Linked DNA regions of Stegostoma tigrinum. The protein of the gene in region 3 binds, or shares a complex with, the protein of the main gene of each other region. Links are inferred from orthologs where the notes say so. Each region holds a gene or a part of one and is shown on either strand. Other genes may lie near its edges. The genes, in order: phosphatidylinositol N-acetylglucosaminyltransferase subunit Y-like, dpm2 and pigh.

What was found.
Region 1: pigh (region 3) and phosphatidylinositol N-acetylglucosaminyltransferase subunit Y-like share a complex: the UniProt entries of both Homo sapiens proteins name them as parts of the glycosylphosphatidylinositol-N-acetylglucosaminyltransferase (GPI-GnT) complex. The link is inferred for Stegostoma tigrinum from reciprocal best matches to the Homo sapiens genes PIGH and PIGY.
Region 2: pigh (region 3) and dpm2 share a complex: the UniProt entries of both Homo sapiens proteins name them as parts of the glycosylphosphatidylinositol-N-acetylglucosaminyltransferase (GPI-GnT) complex. The link is inferred for Stegostoma tigrinum from reciprocal best matches to the Homo sapiens genes PIGH and DPM2.

What each region holds. Positions count from the first base shown.
Region 1 is NC_081370.1:36,824,807-36,830,144, forward strand, and holds phosphatidylinositol N-acetylglucosaminyltransferase subunit Y-like, read left to right. Parts: upstream 1-2,810; coding exon 2,811-3,026; 3' UTR 3,027-3,828; downstream 3,829-5,338. Other genes in the region: protein preY, mitochondrial-like, read left to right, coding at 256-447, 2,567-2,717. UniProt on the Homo sapiens protein: Part of the glycosylphosphatidylinositol-N-acetylglucosaminyltransferase (GPI-GnT) complex that catalyzes the transfer of N-acetylglucosamine from UDP-N-acetylglucosamine to phosphatidylinositol and participates in the first step of GPI biosynthesis.
Region 2 is NC_081382.1:40,458,055-40,464,760, reverse strand, and holds the start of dpm2 (dolichol phosphate-mannose biosynthesis regulatory protein), read right to left. Parts: upstream 3,692-6,706; 5' UTR 3,656-3,691; coding exon 3,653-3,655; intron 2,768-3,652; exon of another isoform or gene 2,679-2,767; intron 1-2,678. UniProt on the Homo sapiens protein: Regulates the biosynthesis of dolichol phosphate-mannose. Regulatory subunit of the dolichol-phosphate mannose (DPM) synthase complex; essential for the ER localization and stable expression of DPM1.
Region 3 is NC_081363.1:80,337,468-80,344,173, reverse strand, and holds the start of pigh (phosphatidylinositol N-acetylglucosaminyltransferase subunit H), read right to left. Parts: upstream 3,971-6,706; 5' UTR 3,915-3,970; coding exon 3,741-3,914; intron 1,289-3,740; coding exon 1,079-1,288; intron 1-1,078. UniProt on the Homo sapiens protein: Part of the glycosylphosphatidylinositol-N-acetylglucosaminyltransferase (GPI-GnT) complex that catalyzes the transfer of N-acetylglucosamine from UDP-N-acetylglucosamine to phosphatidylinositol and participates in the first step of GPI biosynthesis.

The DNA.
Region 1 (5,338 bases), on a different chromosome or scaffold from region 3:
GATGCAGTTGACAGGAGGGAAAGCTGGGTATCTGCAGTGCAGATGTGTATGACACAGATTTTGCTGCAGTTTGGTACCTAATGGCACTTTTAATTGATTGGAGTCGCCTTTATTCGTTCAATTTCTGGAACAGCATCTTCCTGAAAGTGAGTGAGCTCTACAATTTACAGCAGCATTTGCCCTTTTCAATGGGGGTGAAAGGTGGAGGGGGCGGGGCTAGTGCTTTAGCCCGGATGCGGAAGTGTTGGTGGTGAGTCTGGAGTTTCGGGTGGGAATGATTCGGGTTGGGTACGGGTCTCGCATCCGGGGAGCGGCCCGGAGGCTTCTGCATCTCTCCCGGGCCAGGCTGTCAGGAGAATCGGTAACCGGGGAGGGAGACAGGAAGGCTGCTCTGGACCCGACCCTGCTCCCGTATCTGGTGTGTCCCCTGTCCAGAAAGCAGCTCAGGTTCGTCCTTGGGGAAGGTCAGAGACTAGGACAGGGGAGATATCCTATGTCTAGCAACAGGAGAACGAGTCGCTGAAAATAACTAGATTGCTGTTAAGAAGTGCTAGCACATTCTTGATCGTCTGAATGGTCTCCTCTTCACAATTCGGGATGGCGGAGCGGAATGGAGGCAGAGAGTAGGAACAATGAATTTGATTTTTGAGTTGAAGGGAACTGGAGCGGGTTCAGGGAAGGGATTGAACTGGCCTCAAAGCAGGATTTTGCAAAGTGAAAGACCGTTCCGAGGACCTTTAATGGAATCTGGGTTTCATTGTGGCCCTGGAGGAAGGTGGATAATCTCAGAGCACCTAATACTGCAAGGAGAGGACTCCCATCAGCTCTGTGGATGTTTCTACTGTGCAATGCCAACACAAAATGTTCTCTAAAATAATGCAAACAACTAGTATTTATATAGTGCCTCTCATTACCACCAAACGTCTGAAGATGTTTCTGAATTAGTGAAGTACCTTTCCACTGTTGTAATGTACAGATATGCAAACAAGGATGTGATATTGACCAGCAGTCTTTTTTCATGATGGAGACAGATGAACATTCTTATAGAAGAATGAGGGGGATTTATAAAAAACTTTTACAATTATGAAATGAGTCAATAGAAGCAAGGAGCATGTTTCCACTGGTGGGAGAAACTAGAACAAGAGGACATAGCCTCAAAATTACAGGAAGCAGATTTGGCACTGAATTGAGTTGTGAATTGGCAGAATTCTCTGCCCACTGAAGTAATTAAGGGTTAGAATGAGAGGGTGGATAAGTGGAGCTGAGGCCATGAAAATATCAGCGATAATCTTACTGAATGGCAGCTGGTCTACTCCTACACCTAGTTCTTATGTTCTGTGAATACCAGACAACTGTCCAGCTTTTTCTTTTGAATAGTACAGCAGTCCTTCTGTATTGAATTCCTGTCCCCAGATAGTGCCATGTTCCCTTAGTACTGTAGTGGCTGTATCCACCTAGGTTTGTAGACTCACATCTCTGGGGTGAGACTCAAACACCTGGTTTCCTGATTCTGATGTGAGTGTGCTTGCTAAGTGATGGGTTGTCAGCAGATTGACTGAACAAAAGCAGGATGTCTTGATGCCTTTAGACTGGAGGAATTTTTGTCTTGATTGTACACCAGAAACATTCAGAGTATTCAAATCAAAGGAAGTGGCTTGTGGGAAGTAAATAGATGCAATGGTTCTGCCTCCTTGATAGTATTGCCATTTATGTACTGTAGCCAGAGCAGGAATGGCTTTTTGGTTTGGGGCTGTTCGTTCTTCATTTTAGAAGCTCAGAACTGTTATACAATTGACTTCAATCCTGTTTAGTTAGAGGAGAGGGATGAAACGCCTACATGGATTCTTCATCCTGAAGATTTAGCAAGTATGTCTATGAGTGTCTTGACTGCAACACCATTCTCAATCAAATAGCTTACCATTTGCTTTTAAGATACTTGTGTAAATAATAATTTCCTTGTTGAGTCTAAGCTACAAATGATTGAAGAACTCCATCCCATCAAAAAGTAAACATCTTCAGGGAAGTGTAGAGAGAAGAATGGAAATACATACAAGATTAACAGTATCTGAACCAGAAAAGTGGGTTTGTTTAGCAGATCAATTCTGATCTCTGTACCAAAGGAAGTTGAGTTTAATAAAATTATCAGTTTGTTGTTAAAGATAACAATTTCCCCACATTTATTTTTCATGTTTTGTTTTGTTTTGTTTCTGTCCTGGCTATGTTTCACCTTTTAAATCAGTCAGTTAGCAACATACCCTCCCAAAGCTACAATTTTGCACAACAGCTTGGCAGTTCTCCCCACTGACCCTCGACCACAACACTTGTATTACATGCAATCAGCTGATGAAAATATCAGGTTTCTTGAGCTTGTGAAAGAAACTGTGTAAATGCAGAAGTGTTCGCTTGTCTTTCCAACTCTTTTGAAAATTGGAAATGTTTTGAGAATCATAGAAAGATATTGCCTTTTGAAACATAACATTTTCAACCAGATTAAAAGGGCAGACTCCAGTTCCAACTCATTTTGAATGAGCTGCAGTTTAATACTTTGCTTCTGTCACCTTTATAGATATGATGAATCCTCCAATCAGCTGATCAATGATGAGTTGGGAATAGCCTATCCTGTTGTCGATGGAATTCCCAACATGATCCCTCAGGATGCAAAGTTAATTCGCAAGAGTGAAGACACACCCAAGGCGGAAGAACTTTCACAGCAGTAAACGGATCACACATTGCTTCTGGAAGTGGTGGGGAACTCTGGAAGTTTGAGATTATTTTAAAGGGAGGGAGCTTATCTTGCGTATTGCAAGATAATGACAATCTATCTGTCAACTCTCACAGTGCTGGTTCCCCTGTTCTCTTTAGCTGGGCTGTTGTACTCAGCTGCATTTGACAAGGATTTTCCACAGGGCTGCACTAGTATGGCCAGCTTGTGTTTCTACAGCCTACTACTCCCCATCACTATCCCAGTGTTTGTATTTTTTCACCTATGGAGCTGGATGGGGATTAAACTTTTCAGGCATAACTAATTTGAGTTCAAAAGCTATTGCGTATGATGATGTTTGTGGTGACCTGACGGCATCAACCTCTCAAATGAAATTTAGTTTCAGTAACAAGGTTTTTCCATTGGCTTGGAGGTATTTAGAATCTTGAGTGTATTATTGGTGGAAATTGGCACTGTTTTGGTTAACTTGTTCCTTACACACAAAATGCGAGGCATTCACTTTTGCCTCATCATGGTACATTTTTCTGGTAATGTTCAGTTCCATTGGCTTCATTCCCAGTGACTGCAATGCAGGAGACATTAACAGGCAGTCCATTTGAACCAGTTCGATACGGATTTCTGTCTTGAAGAAACAGTGTAACCAAAGTCACATCAAATTCCACCACAATGTCAGATGCAAATAAACCATGGAAATTCATTATAACAAAGGTTTAGTTTTGGTGCTTTTGACCTTGCTTTCGAAGACACTTGCTGTTTGCCTGGGTATTTAGCCACACTTGTGGTCTGTATTTGAGTTTCCTTGCCTGTATTCTGTTACTTTCACACGTTGCTTGGTAGGTAGTACAATGATTTCTTGATTCAGAAGGTTGTAGTTTAAGTTCCATGTTTGCTGATACTCCAGTGTAGTACTGAGAAAATATCACATTGTCAAAAATGCTCTCTTTTAAATGTTAACCAAAGCCCTGTCTGCTCCCTTGTGTAGAAGTAAAAACTTCCATGGTGCTATTTAAAAGAAAAGCAGGGGAGTGTTCATTGGCTATCTGACTAATGTCTGTCCTTCAAGCAACAACATTTGAAAAAATAAACATGTTATCTGGCAAATATCATATCGATGTTTGTGGGAACTTCCTGGGCATATGTTGGCTGTCACATTTTCAATGGTTCAACCATGACTTCACTTCAAAAGTACTTCAGGATGGCCCAAAGTGTATTATAATTAATGAAATGCCTTATCAGGGGGAAGTAACAAAGTGCTGGAGGAAGCCTGGCAGCAGCTGTGGAGGGGGAAACAGAGCTAACATTTCAAGTGTAGAATGACTCTTCCTGCACTTGCAGTATTTTGCTTTTATTAGGACTGGGAGCCCTTCCTTTACTGAATTTTCTTCAGAAGAAGCTGGGCATAGAATAGGCTAGAATCAGTCTAGGTCAGAAGTTGCTGAAAACTTAATACAACCATGGAATGACCTGTCATTGTAAACTAAGTTACTGGTAATGAGCAGTTCGAGTCATCTACATGTTGAAAGCAGATGATTATTTCCATACCATGCAGTTTGAGTTATCTTTAAATAAAGCAATTTGAAGCAAATGTTTCATCTCCATCACTAGACTGTCTGGCTGTAGACTGGATATTTTTTACCTCAGTTAAGATGGGGTGAAGTTGACCAGAGATTGCAAATTCTGCTTCAATGGGATGCAGTGGGAGGAGGGGAGATATTGAAGCTGGTGAAATCCACATTGATACCATTAGGCTGCAGGGTTCCCAAACGGAATATGAGTTGCTGTTCCTGCAACCTATGGGTGACATCATTATGGCACTGCTGGAGGCCCAGGATAGACATGTGCATCCCAAAACCAGTCCAGCTTGTCCCTGTCTGCCTAACCTGTTCTTCCTCTCACCTATCCCCTCCTCCCACCTCCATTTCCTACCTACTAACCTCATCCTGCCCCCTTGACCTGTCTGTCCTCCCCGGACTGACCTATCCCCTTCCTACCTCGCCACCCGTACTCTCCTCTCCAACTATCTTCTCCTCTATCCATCTTCAGTCTGCCTACCACCCCCTCCCTATTTATTTCAGAATCCTCTCCCCATCCCCCTTTTCTGATGAAGGGTCTAGGCCCGAAACGCCAGCTTTTGTGCTCTCAAAATGCTGCTTGGCCTGCTGTGTTCATCCAGCCCCACACTTTGTTATTTTGGATTCTCCAGCATCTGCAGTTCCCTTTATCTCTGTTTATAAAAAGGAAATTGCTTGACAAATTCAAGGTTTGTTTTGATGTAACCAATGGTATAGACAAAGAGGAGCCACCTTGTTCTAGAAATCACCAGAGGAAACAATTTTTGTCTATCTCTTTATCATCTTAAACATTTCAATTCAACCACCCCTCAAATTGTTTTAATCAACCTATTCTGACGTTATCACCTTTGGAGCAGACGGGACTGGAATCCAAGCCTCCTGGCTATCGGCACAACCACTGTGCCAAAGGAGCACCTTTCTTAATTTTCTATAACTTGGCCAATAGTGATGTGGGAAACCTCATTTCATAATTTAACCTTCTATGTACTGGTTATCATTCTGAGGAATCTCTATTGAGTTACTCCAAGGCCAATATAGTAGAGGA
Region 2 (6,706 bases), on a different chromosome or scaffold from region 3:
AGGGGTTAAAGGAGAAACATTGAAAAGCATGCCCTTTCATAAACGGCCAGTAAAGTTCATACCAAATAACTGCCAAGCATTCTAAAAGGCAAGAATCTAACTATCTCCCCTTGACGCTCACAGTTGAATTCCTCATAGTCAACATCCTGGGTTCACCACTGATCAGAAACCTACCTGGACCTGTGCTGAGTAGCTCCACAAAGCCTGCTGCACTATTCATTAGACAAGTCAAAAGCATGAGGGAACTGTCCACTTAGTTGGAAGTGTGCAGCTCCAGCTACATCCAAAAACGTCAACACCACCCTGAGACAAAACAGACCACTTCAGTGACATACAAACTAGCACCTTCAACTTTCACTTCCGCCAATGCACAAGGGAATGGTACCATCAACAAGATGCATTCGGGCAACTCACCAAGTCTCCTTCAACAGCACCTTCCTAACACACAATATCTACCTCTAGAAAGAGGGGGGCAGCAGGCACACAGAGACACCACCACCTGCAAATTCCCCTCCGAAAGACACGCCATCCAGGCTTGGAAACGTGTCATTGCTCCTTCACGCAGAGAGTGTCAAGACCGTGAGATGTTATTCACTTGTGAGAAACTATGAAAAAGGAAACAGAGGAGCAGAAGTAGGTTATTCAGCCCCTGAAGTAGCCCGAGCATTCCAGATCATGGCTGATCATCGACAACAACATCACTTTGCTAAGCTATCCCCATATCCCTTACTATCGTAACTAACTATAAATTTATTGATCTCTGTACTTAGGGTACGACGAAGCTCCCACAGCCCTCTGAGGCACAGAATCATAAAGAGTCACCTCCTCAGGTAAGAAATTCTTGATCATCTCAATCTTAAACAGCCTGCTTTCCTTCTCACCCTAAAGTCAATCTAGTTCACAGGAATATTGTGCAGAAGAATGGTGAAATGCTGAGTAGAACAAACAACTGGGAAAGCTAATACAATGCTTTGCTGTTTGTTGAGAGGGGGAAATCAAACACAAAAGGAAGGAGATAACAAGGCGCAGAGTTAGATGAAAGGTTTTGGGCAGACAGGGAAACCGGGAGCAGTTGCGGCAAAAGGGAAACGTAAGTAAATCCAAACAGAAAATGTCAAGTATTCGGACTGAGACAAGTCAAAAGCACAAGGGAACTGTCCAATTAGCAGGAATTCGGACAGCACGGCACCCACCTCCACACTGACCCTCCCACCGTGAGGCGCTCCCTCAGCGCTGACCCTCCGACGGCGCCCGCTCCCTCAGCGCTGACCCTCCGACGGCGCCCGCTCCCTCAGCGCTGACCCTCCGACGGCGCCCGCTCCCTCAGCGCTGACCCTCCGACGGCGCCCGCTCCCTCAGCGCTGACCCTCAGACGGCGCCCGCTCCCTCAGCGCTGACCCTCAGACGGCGCCCGCTCCCTCAGCGCTGACCCTCAGACGGCGCCCGCTCCCTCAGCGCTGACCCTCAGACGGCGCCCGCTCCCTCAGCGCTGACCCTCAGACGGCGCCCGCTCCCTCAGCGCTGACCCTCAGACGGCGCCCGCTCCCTCAGCGCTGACCCTCCGACGGCGCCCGCTCCCTCAGCGCTGACCCTCCGACGGCGCCCGCTCCCTCAGCGCTGACCCTCCGACGGCGCCCGCTCCCTCAGCGCTGACCCTCCGACGGCGCCCGCTCCCTCAGCGCTGACCCTCCGACGGCGCCCGCTCCCTCAGCGCTGACCCTCCGACGGCGCCCGCTCTCTCAGCGCTGACCCTCCGACGGCGCCCGCTCCCTCAGCGCTGACCCATTGAAAGTGCCCGCTCCCTCAGCACTGACCCTCCGACAGTGCCCGCTCCCTCAGCACTGACCCTCCGACAGTGCCGGCTCCCTCAGCACTGACCCTCCGACAGTGCCGGCTCCCTCAGCACTGACCCTCCGACAGTGCCCGCTCCCTCAGCACTGACCCATTGAAAGTGCCCGCTCCCTCAGCACTGACCCTCCGACAGTGCCCGCTCCCTCAGCACTGACCCTCCGACAGTGCCCGCTCCCTCAGCACTGACCCATTGAAAGTGCCCGCTCCCTCAGCACTGACCCTCCGACAGTGCCGGCTCCCTCAGCACTGACCCTCCGACAGTGCCCGCTCCCTCAGCACTGACCCTCCGACAGTGCCGGCTCCCTCAGCACTGACCCTCCGACAGTGCCCGCTCCCTCAGCACTGACCCATTGAAAGTGCCCGCTCCCTCAGCACTGACCCTCCGACAGTGCCCGCTCCCTCAGCACTGACCCTCCGACAGTGCCCGCTCCCTCAGCACTGACCCATTGAAAGTGCCCGCTCCCTCAGCACTGACCCTCCGACAGTGCCGGCTCCCTCAGCACTGACCCTCCGACAGTGCCCTGTCCCTCAGCACTGACCCTCCGACGGCGCCCGCTCTCTCAGCACTGACCCTCCGACGGCGCCCGCTCTCTCAGCACTGACCCTCCGACGGCGCCCGCTCCCTCAGCACTGACCCTCCGACAGTGCCCGCTCCCTCAGCACTGACCCTCCGACAGTGCCGGCTCCCTCAGCACTGACCCTCCGACAGTGCCCGCTCCCTCGGCACTGACCCTCCGACAGTGCCCGCTCCCTCGGCACTGACCCTCCGACAGTGTCCACTCCCTCGGCACTGACCCTCCGACGGCGCCCGCTCCCTCGGCACTGACCCTGTGACAGTGTCCACTCCCTCGGCACTGACCCTCCGACAGTGCCCGCTCCCTCAGCACTGACCCTCCGACGGCGCCCGCTCCCTCGGCACTGACCCTCCGACAGTGCCCACTCCCTCGGCACTGACCCTCCGACAGTGCCCACTCCCTCAGCACTGACCCTCCGACGGCGCCCGCTCCCTCAGCACTGACCCTCCGACAGTGCCCGCTCCCTCAGCACTGACCCTCCGACAGTGCCCACTCCCTCAGCACTGACCCTCCGACGGCGCCCGCTCCCTCAGCACTGACCCTCCGACAGTGCCCGCTCCCTCGGCACTGACCCTCCGACAGTGCCCACTCCCTCAGCACTGACACTCTGACAGTGCCCACTCCCTCAGCACTGACCATCTGACAGTGCCCGCTCCCTCAGCACTGACCCTCCGACAGTGCCCGCTCCCTCAGCACTGACCCTCCGACAGTGTCCACTCCCTCGGCACTGACCCTGTGACAGTGTCCACTCCCTCAGCACTGACCCTCCGACAGTGCCCGCTCCCTCAGCACTGACCCTCCGACAGTGTCCACTCCCTCGGCACTGACCCTGTGACAGTGTCCACTCCCTCGGCACTGACCCTCTGACAGTGTCCACTCCCTCGGCACTGACCCTGTGACAGTGTCCACTCCCTCGGCACTGACCCTGTGACAGTGTCCACTCCCTCAGCACTGACCCTCCGACAGTGACCACTCCCTCAGCACTGACCCTCCGACAGTGTCCACTCCCTCAGCACTGACCCTGTGACAGTGTCCGCTCCCTCAGCACTGACCCTCCGACAGTGACCACTCCCTCAGCACTGACCCTGTGACAGTGTCCACTCCCTCAGCACTGACCCTCCGACAGTGTCCACTCCCTCAGCACTGACCCTCCGACAGTGTCCACTCCCTCAGCACTGACCCTCTGACAGTGTCCACTCCCTCGGCACTGACCCTCTCTCACTCACCATCTCCACTCGCTTCGGCCAAACTTCCACTTCCGGAGTCAGACGCAACGTCTTTGTTCCTGACCAATCAGCGCCTTGGAGGTTTAATTTCCCCCGCCCCCCCGTTCCCCATTCCTGCTCGTTTCCGCGGCACCTCTCTCCCATTGGCCCCTGTCGCCATCAATCATCACCCCGTGTCGCTCGCGCTCATGCCTGCAATGACGTCTGGTGCTGCTGCACCGCCCTCTGTCGGTGAGGGCCGGTAGTTTCCCCTGAGTCACTGATTCCCTTTCCCCATGCCACTCTCCACCACCACCAGCCTGCACATCTCCTGTCCCCAACACAGTGCTCAGTCCCAATCCCCTCATTCCCTTCCCCTCACTCCAAAACCTCATCCTCCATCCCTGCACCCCATCCCAAACCCAACCCCCCATCCTAACCCTACTGTTCCCGCCACTGCATTATTATCAATTCTCATTCCCACGCCCTTTTCGTTTATGTCCCATACTATCTGTTGAACTCTTTCTGGAGAGGTCCCTGCAGTCTGATGATCAAGTTAAAACTGTACGTTCCATCAAGCTCATGAGGTAGCCTCTTGTCATTGCAAAATCAATCTTCTCGCCCCATCCCAATCCCTTGGCTCCACCGCTATCCCAAACCCCAATCCCAGCCCCATCCAACACCAAATCTCTCCACTCCACCTCCTTTCTCAAACCCGTTTTCAAATCATTCCCAGACCAAAAATCAATCTTCTAATGCAAATATATCACAAATCCCAGCCCAATCTAACCAATTTTCCCAGGCCCAAAACCAACTCAGTTGAGCAGTCTCACAATCTAAACCATCTCTTCCAAACCAAATTTGAACCCCAAGCCCAGCCCAGCATATCCCAGCCCTCCTTAACCCCAAAACTGTCTCCCGAACCACCCAGCCCAGCCCAAACCCAATCCCAATCTAGTCCTCCAACCCCACCACACCCGGCACCTTCCCCTGCAACCGCAGGAAATGCTACACTTGCCCCCACACCTCCTCCCTCATCCCTATCCCAGGCCCCAAGATGACTTTCCATATTAAGCAGAGGTTCACCTGCACATCTGCCAATGTGGTATACTGCATCCATTGTACCCGGTGTGGCTTCCTCTACATTGGGGAAACCAAGTGGAGGCTTGGGGGCCACTATGCAGAACACCTCCGCTCAGTTCGCAACAAACAACTGCACCTCCCAGTCGCAAACCATTTCCACTCCCCCTCCCATTCTTTAGATGACATGTCCATCATGGGCCTCCTGCAGTGCCCCAATGACGCCACGGGAAGGTTGCAGGAACAGCAACTCATATTCCGCTTGGGAACTCTGCAGCCCAATGGTATCAATGTGGACTTCACCAGCTTCAAAATCTCCCCTTCCCCCACCGCATCCCAAAACCAGCCCAGTTCGTCCCCTCCCCCCACTGCACCACACAACTAGCCCAGCTCTTCCCCTCCACCCACTGCATCCCAAAACCAGTCCAATCTGTCTCTGCCTCCCTAACCTGTTCTTCCTCTCACCCATCCCTTCCTCCCACCCCAAGCCGCACCTCCATCTCCTACCTACTAACCTCATCCCACCTCCTTGACCTGTTCGTCTTCCCTGGACTGACCTATCCCCTCCCTACCTCCCCACCTATACTCTCCTCTCCGCCTATCTTCTTTTCTCTCCATCTTCGGTCCGCCTCCCCCTCTCTCCCTATTTATTCCAGAACCCTCTCCCCATCCCCCTCGCTGATGAAGGGTCTAGGCCCGAAACGTCAGCTTTTGTGCTCCTGAGGTGCTGTTTGGCCTGCTGTGTTCATCCAGCCTCACATTTTATTATCCCCAATGTAGTCCTGTCTCTCAACCTCAACTTAAACTTTTGTGTAGCCCAGTGTCCCAGTTCATCTCCAAAGTGATGGATTGACTCGTGCCACTCTCTGATTTTCAAGAACTACAGTTCCTCCTCCTCGTTGTCTCCTGGACAACCATTTCTCCGAATTAGAGAGTTGGTAGAAAGAAGGGTCTAGGCCTGAAGCGTTAGCTTTCCTGCTCCTCTGATGCTGCTTGGCCTGCTGTGTTCATCCAGCTCCACACCTTGTTATGTCAGATTTGTCTGAATGAGTCAGCCATCATGCAGATTTAGAGAGTTACACCACTTCATCAGCTGCAGGGCAAAGCTGTGGCACAGTGCAAATTGAACACAAATCACATATTCAGCCCATCAGGCCCCTGCTAGTGTTGATGCTCCCTTTTACCAGGAGGGGTTGTAGGTAAACAGCGCTCTAGAAACTCTTAGAATATTTCCAGACTCTGATATAGACCCTCTGGCCAGCTGGCTCTACCGCATCTTCCTTCATTCCAGCCCCCTGGACAAAATGTCCTTTAAACACCACCATCCCCCCCACCCCCCACAAGACTGCACTAACCATGTGCTCAGTTCTCTCACTGGTGCCTCTCCATTCTCCCCTCATGCCCTTTGTGGTTCTTACCTTGTCCATGAGACCCACATTCTGGCCATTCATACCTATTCCCACAAAAGCAATGGTCTTCCTCCTCTTTCCCTCCCTCTGTTAGATGATTTTACTAACGGTCCGCTCTTTTGTCTCTCTGGTGCTGTCCCTTTCACCTTTAACTTTTAAAAATTCATTCACAGGATGTGAGGCATTGCTTGCAAAGCCAGCATTTGTTTCTCTTGAAGTGAATGGCTTGTTTAGCCATGTCAGGGTGCAGTTAAAAGCCACCCATGTTGCTGTGGGTCTGGAGTCATGTGTAGGCCAGACCAAGTAGGGATGGCAGATATCCTTCCCTAAAGTAAACTGGGTGGGTTTTTACAATAACAAATGATGACTCTCCTGGCCACCTTTAGGTTTGCTGTTAACTTCACATTAACTAATTTTACCAGGAGTCCTGGTGGGATTCAAACCTGTGAACCAAGAACACTGGTGAAGCATAGCAATCCAATGATGTTATCACTTAACCACTTCCTCTTCTGTTATCACCCTTCTCTTCAAAAAGGTCTCCACTGTCCTTCCCACATCTCCAACCTCCCATGTCTCCTCAAAATTC
Region 3 (6,706 bases):
TCCCACCTCTCCTCCCTTGCCCCATCTGTCACATTCTCTCACATTCGTTTTAGTCTCCAGCATCCTGTCTGCTCCACCTTGCCCCAGTGCTTTTCATGAACAACTACACATTTCATATTGTTCAAAGATTCTTTCGTTGAATGTGTATAATCCTGAAAGCTTACATGTTCTTAATTTACATTTTTGTCTTCCTTTAATACTTCACGACCCAATTTTTAAAAAATTTCAATTCAAAAGCATTTCGATACATATGGATCCAGAAATGAAATACTGTGGATCTTGGAAATCTTGAAATAAAAACTGAAAAATGCTGGAAACATTCAAGGGGACAGGCAGCATCTAAGCAGCAAGAAACGGAGTTTGTCATTTCAGATCTTTTGTCAAAGTTGGGAGAAATTAGAAGTTTAACAAGTTTTGAGGAAAACAGGAAACCAGATAAAACAGAGTGGCATGGCAATTTCCTTTCTTTGATGACCCTAGCTGACGGGAGTTGGGAAGCTCTCAGCAATGGAAGCTCAAGAAACAGCATTTCATTTTCCAGTTAGGTGCTTCAATGGTGTTCAGTTTAGTTCAGGCGGCTGGAAGTTGGGTTGTGAAGCAGTGTGATGCCAAGAGCGTGGGTTCAATCCCCACATCAGCTGAGGTTACCACGAAGGGCTCTCCTTCTCAAGCTCTCCCCAGACTAGAGGTGTGGTGGCCCTCAGGTTACATCACCAGTCCTCTCACACTCTCACTCACCAGAAACCCATGGTCTGACTCCCAACACACATTTCAACAGTAGGGCACTTCAAAAGAAAAAAAAATAATTTGAGATACTGGAGGTGATGAAAAGCATTGTACCAATGTGAATTCTGATTGTGGCCTATCAATTTTCTGACAGCAGCTATGCAATTCTCAAATTTCATGTAGTGTTTATTACAACATTAAAGACAGAAGATGCAGTTTCTCCAGGACTGAATAGTTTAAACAAGGAAAGTGTTCAAACATTAAACAGTCCTTCACGTTCAGGTTCCATATTTGTTGTTACTCTGCAGTAGAGTGTCAGTAACTTAAGGAATCATTACTCCGTCTCACTTACCATATAAATGGCTTCATTGATCACAATATCTTTCACCTTCCTCATCTCAATGAATCTCACACTCTCTCTGCCAGAAGCATACACGGTGTTCATCTGGACTCCAATCGATCCAATGATCAGCATTGACTCCTGATCAATCTTAAATAAGTGGAGGTGCAGCATCATCCCAACGAGAGTCAAAACAATGGAAGCTGAGAGCACTAGAGTGTTCTGCAAGAAGCAATTTGCAACAAAGACTATCAGGGCAGTTCCTGCAACCTGTTCACGAAGCCAACTTGAACTTTTAATAATGGAAACTGAAAATGCCCAGCAGGTCTGCACCCAGTTCTGATTACAGATCATGGACCTGCAACGTTAACTCTGTTTCACTTTCTACAGATGCTGAGTTTCTCCAGCATTCTCTGCTTCTATTTCTGATCTCCAGCATTCACAGTACCTCACATGTATTAGAAACTGCCCTTTATTTTGTATCACTGCCTATTAAAATGCATCACTACAGATTTGTTATTATGAAATAACAATAGGGAATCTAATCCAGTCTGCTATATGTCTGACCAATAATTCTGCCTACGTCCTCTTGAGGTATATTACTTCTCTTCACTGTTCACAACAATACTTCCAATTTTTTGTCATCTACTAATTACACCCTGTGCAGTTAAGTTTATTGTCATTATATAGATCAAGACTAACAGTATGATCCTGGTACTGATTCTTGAGGGAACCCTCCTATGCAAAACAAAAGTCAGCTTTTTATTACTACACTGTCTCCTGTCACTCAGCTAACTGCGTAGCCAATGATACCACTATGTCTTTTATTCTGCAGGATTTAGCTTTGTTGCAGAGCCAGGATGTGGCCCTCTAATACATAGCTTTGGGAAGATGATTCACACTACATCAACTCTCTGTGTGAGTGCCGCAGAAAAAAAAACTCTTAGTCAAATGATTTGCTTTAAATAAATCCACGCTGACTTTTGTTTGTTAATCCACACTTGCTTACTGACTGCTTATTATGTCCTATTTTATCTCGACTGCTTTCCACCAGCGAGGCTAGAGAGTGACTGACCAATAGCTGTTGGGATTACCTTTATATCCTTTCTCAACAAGGGTGTAACATTTGCCCTCTGGCACAAATGAGTATTTGAGGAAAAGAAGATGATTATGGCTAGCAAGTCTGAAATTTCAACTCTTCACACTGCATCCAGTCCTGGGGATAAATCAACTAAGTGCACAACCAGCCTGTCTAATGTTATGTCTTTATCAAGTTCCTCAAGGTTGTGTCCATGGCAGAATTGTACTCAACTGCTTTTGTCAATGATCTTCTCTCCATCAGAAGTGGGAATGCTCAATGATTGCACAATGTTCACAATTCATTACCAGCCTGTCTAATGTTATGTCTTTATCAAGTTCCTCAAGGTTGTGTCCATGGCAGAATTGTACTCAACTGCTTTTGTCAATGATCTTCTCTCCATCAGAAGTGGGAATGCTCAATGATTGCACAATGTTCACAATTCATTACTTCTCAGATACTGATAGAGGCCATGTCCAAACGCAACAAGTCGTGGACAATATTCAGTGTGGGTTAACAAATGGCATGTCTCACACTCACTTCAGCAAAAGAAAATCTAACCATCACCCCTTGGTATTCAATAGCACTGCTACCAGTGAATCCCCACTATCAATATCCATTGACAAGAAACTAAACTGGTCTCGTCATACAAGTACAAAAGTGGGTCAAATGTTAGAATTCTTGCATGCCCATAATTCCCTAAGCCTGTCGGGCATTACAAGGCACAAGGCAGACGTATAACAGAAAACATTCCACTTGCCGAGATGGGTGCAGTTCAAACAACTCAAGAAGCTTCACACGATCCAAGTCAAAACAGTTGGCTGATTGAATTTGAATGTAGTGCCACTCTATCCACCAATGCTCTGTAGCTGCAGTGCGTACCATCAATAAGATGCACTACAAAAATTCACTAGGACTCCTTACACAGTACCTTCCAAACCCACATCAAGCTAGAAGGACAAGGGCAACAGAAACATGGGAATACCACCTCCTGCAAGTTCCACTCCAAGTCACTCATAATACAGACTTAGAAACATATCAACATTCCTTCACTGTCATTCAGTCAAAATCCTGGAACTCCCTTCCTAAGGGCTCTCTCTACCGACAGCACCAGCTTAAGGGGTAGCTAGAGAGGAAACAATAAGTGTTACCCATGTTCTGTGCGTGAGTGAAGGAATGAATTTATATTTAGTCCACCCATTATGAGTCACTGACGGAAAAGACAGGTATAAAGTGTTCATTTAGTACCTAGCCATGCCCTGCAAATACTCCCAGGTTGAGGATGCTAGCACATCGCTCACCTATTGAGCCCTGAGGAGTCACCTGTTAGGGTACTGCGCATGTGCGAAGCCGGACTGCGCACCTACAACGCAGTGGGGCGTGGTCACGACCTTGCGCGACAGGAGCAGGGGCCAATCGGTCTGGACAGCACCGGGGACGAGGCGTTCCCAGGCTATGACTGATTGGGGCGTCAGCCAATCGCAAATTGATCGCTGCCCGCCTAAAGGACTGGGACACACGTCATCAGGCCCCATCGTCCAATTAGTAGGTGTCCGCACCTCCTCCCACCCCCCCCCCCGGGGCCAACCCACCTACCTGCGTCCTGTTAAAGATGGCGTAAGCGACCAGCCAGATGGCGGCCGTGCACCCCAACACCGAACGCAGGGACATTTTCGGCGACAGGATTGTGAACTCGCGGCAGAGCGGCGAGTGGTGTCTTTGTTCGAGGGTGATGCAGCGGCCGCTTAGGTCTTTGAAAGTCGACGCCATGTCTCCCAAGCCCTGCTGGTGACGTCACGCCGCTGGGTGCGCCTGTCCACGTGACTGCGTGGGAACACCTGGCCTTTTAAAGGGACAGGCCACCTCCCCCAATCAACCAGGAGGAGCACCTTCAAACAACTGAAAGGTGCCAAGGTGCACTTACTTTGCAGCTAGCATCATGAAAATGGGGAACTTCCCTCACTATCAAAATCAAGGGGCTAATATTTAGTGATAATGGGAACTGCAGATGCTGGAGAATCCAAGATAATAAAACGTGAGGCTGGATGAACACAGCAGGCCAAGCAGCATCTCAGGAGCACAAAAGCTGACGTTTCGGGCCTAGACCCTTCATCAGAGAGGGGGAGGGGGTGAGGGTTCTGGAATAAATAGGGAGAGAGGGGGAGGCGGACCGAAGATGGAGAGAAAAGAAGATAGGTAGAGAGGAGAGTATAGGTGGGGAGGTAAGGAGGGGATAGGTCAGTCCAGGGAAGACGGACAGGTCAAGGAGGTGGGATGAGGTTAGTAGGTAGGAGATGGAGGTGCGGCTTGGGGTGGGAGGAAGGGATGGGTGAGAGGAAGAACAGGTTAGGGAGGCAGAGACAGGCTGGGCTGGTTTTGGGATGCAGTGGGTGGAGGGGAAGAGCTGAGCTGGTTGTGTGGTGCAGTGGGGGGAGGGGACGAACTGGGCTGGTTTAGGGATGCGGTGGGGGAAGGGGAGATTTTGAAACTGGTGAAGTCCACATCGATATCATTAGGCTGCAGGGTTTCCAAGCGGAATATGAGTTGCTGTTCCTGCAACCTTCGGGTGTCATCATTGTGGCACTGCAGGAGGCCCATGATGGACATGTCATCTAAAGAATGGGAGGGGGAGTGGAAATGGTTTGCGACTGGGAGGTGCAGTTGTTTGTTGCGAACCAAGCGGAGGTGTTCTGCAAAGCGGTCCCCAAGCCTCCGCTTGGTTTCCCCAATGTAGAGGAAGCCGCACCGGGTACAGTGGATGCAGTATACCACATTGGCAGATGTGCAGGTGAACCTCTGCTTAATGTGGAATGTCATCTTGGGGCCTGGGATAGGGGTGAGGGAGGAGGTGTGGGGGTAAGTGTAGCATTTCCTGCGGTTGCAGGGGAAGGTGCCGGGTGTGGTGGGGTTGGAGGGCAGTGTGGAGCGAACAAGGGAGTCACGGAGAGAGTGGTCTCTCCGGAAAGCAGACAGGGGTGGGGATGGAAAAATGTCTTGGGTGGTGGGGTCGGATTGTAGATGGCGGAAGTGTCGGCGGATGATGCGTTGTATCCGGAGGTTGGTGGGGTGGTGTGTAAGAACGAGGGGGATCCTCTTTGGGTGGTTGTGACGGGGGCGGGGTGTCAATTAAGCAGCAACGCGACTGGACTTGCCATATAAATAACTGAATGGCTACAAGAGCAGTTCAGAGGTTAAAAACACTCGTCTCCTGACTCCTCAAGGCCTGTCCATCATCTACAGGGCATAAGTCAGGGGTGTGATGGAATACTGGCCAGGTGCCTGACTAGTTACAGCTCCATTAACACAGCTTGATGCCACCGATGATTAGTTACAGCATTGTGTACTGTCTACGTAAGATGCACTGCAGAAGTTCAAAGACCATCAGACTGCACCTTCCAAATTCATGACCGGTTCCATCTAGAACATAGTCAACAGTGAAGAAAGTTATGTAAGATTACAAAGGAAATTGCAATCAATTGGCCAATGGGCCGAGGATTGGCAGATGAAGCTTAATTTACATAAATGCAAGGTATGGCATTTTGCTACAACAAACAAGGGCAGGTCATACGCAGTTAATGGTAGGGCCCTGGGTAGTGTCGCCGAACAGCGAGACAGAGGGGTTCAGGTAACAATCCTTTGAAAGCTGCATAAGACATAGTTTGGTTAAGAAGGGGTGTATGTGTGTGTGTTTGTTAAGAAGGTGTTTAGCAAGCTTGATTTCATCACTCAGATGTTTGTGTAGAGGATTTGGAAAGTCATGCTGAGGTTGTACCGGATGTCAGTGAGGCCATTTTTGGAGTACTGTGTACACTTCAGGTCATCCTGCTGAAGGATGGTTCGGAAAATATTTACCAGGATTTTGCTGGGAATGGAATAGGCTGGGAATTTTGTCACTGGAGTGTAGGAGTTGACAAGTGATCTTAAAGATTTTTTGAAATCAGGAGGGACATGGATAAGTTAACTGCAAAGGTCTTTTCCCTAGGGTGGGTGAGTTCAAAACTAGGGGACGTATTTTTAAGGTGCAAGGAGAAAAATTTAAAAGGGACCTAAGAGACAAGTTTTTCACGCAGAGGGTGGTTTGTGTGTGGAATGTACTGCCAGAGAAAGTGGTAGATGCAGGTACAGTTCCGGCATTTAAAAGACATTTGGATAGGCACATGAATAGGGAAGGTTTAGAGGGATATGGACCAAATGCAAGCAAGTGGGGTTAGTTTAGTCTAGGGAAACTTAGTTGGAATTGACAAGCTGGACCAAAGGGTCTGTTTCCATTCTGGATGACTACTGGGGAAAACCACCCCTGCAAGATTCTGTCCAAGTCATTCGCTATCCTGATGTGGAAATATCAGCATTCCTTCACTGTCATTGGGTCACAATCCTGGAATTGCCTCCCTCAGGATGCTGTGGTCTACCTATAGCACATGGGCTGCAACAGTTAAGAAGGCAGTTGGTGGGGGGGGGGGGGCGCGGTGCGAGCATTAACTGCTGACCAGCTAGTGATGCCCACATTCCCCTCAGTGAATTTAAACAAAATAGAGAGATTTCCACAGCTACCCTGCTGGTTC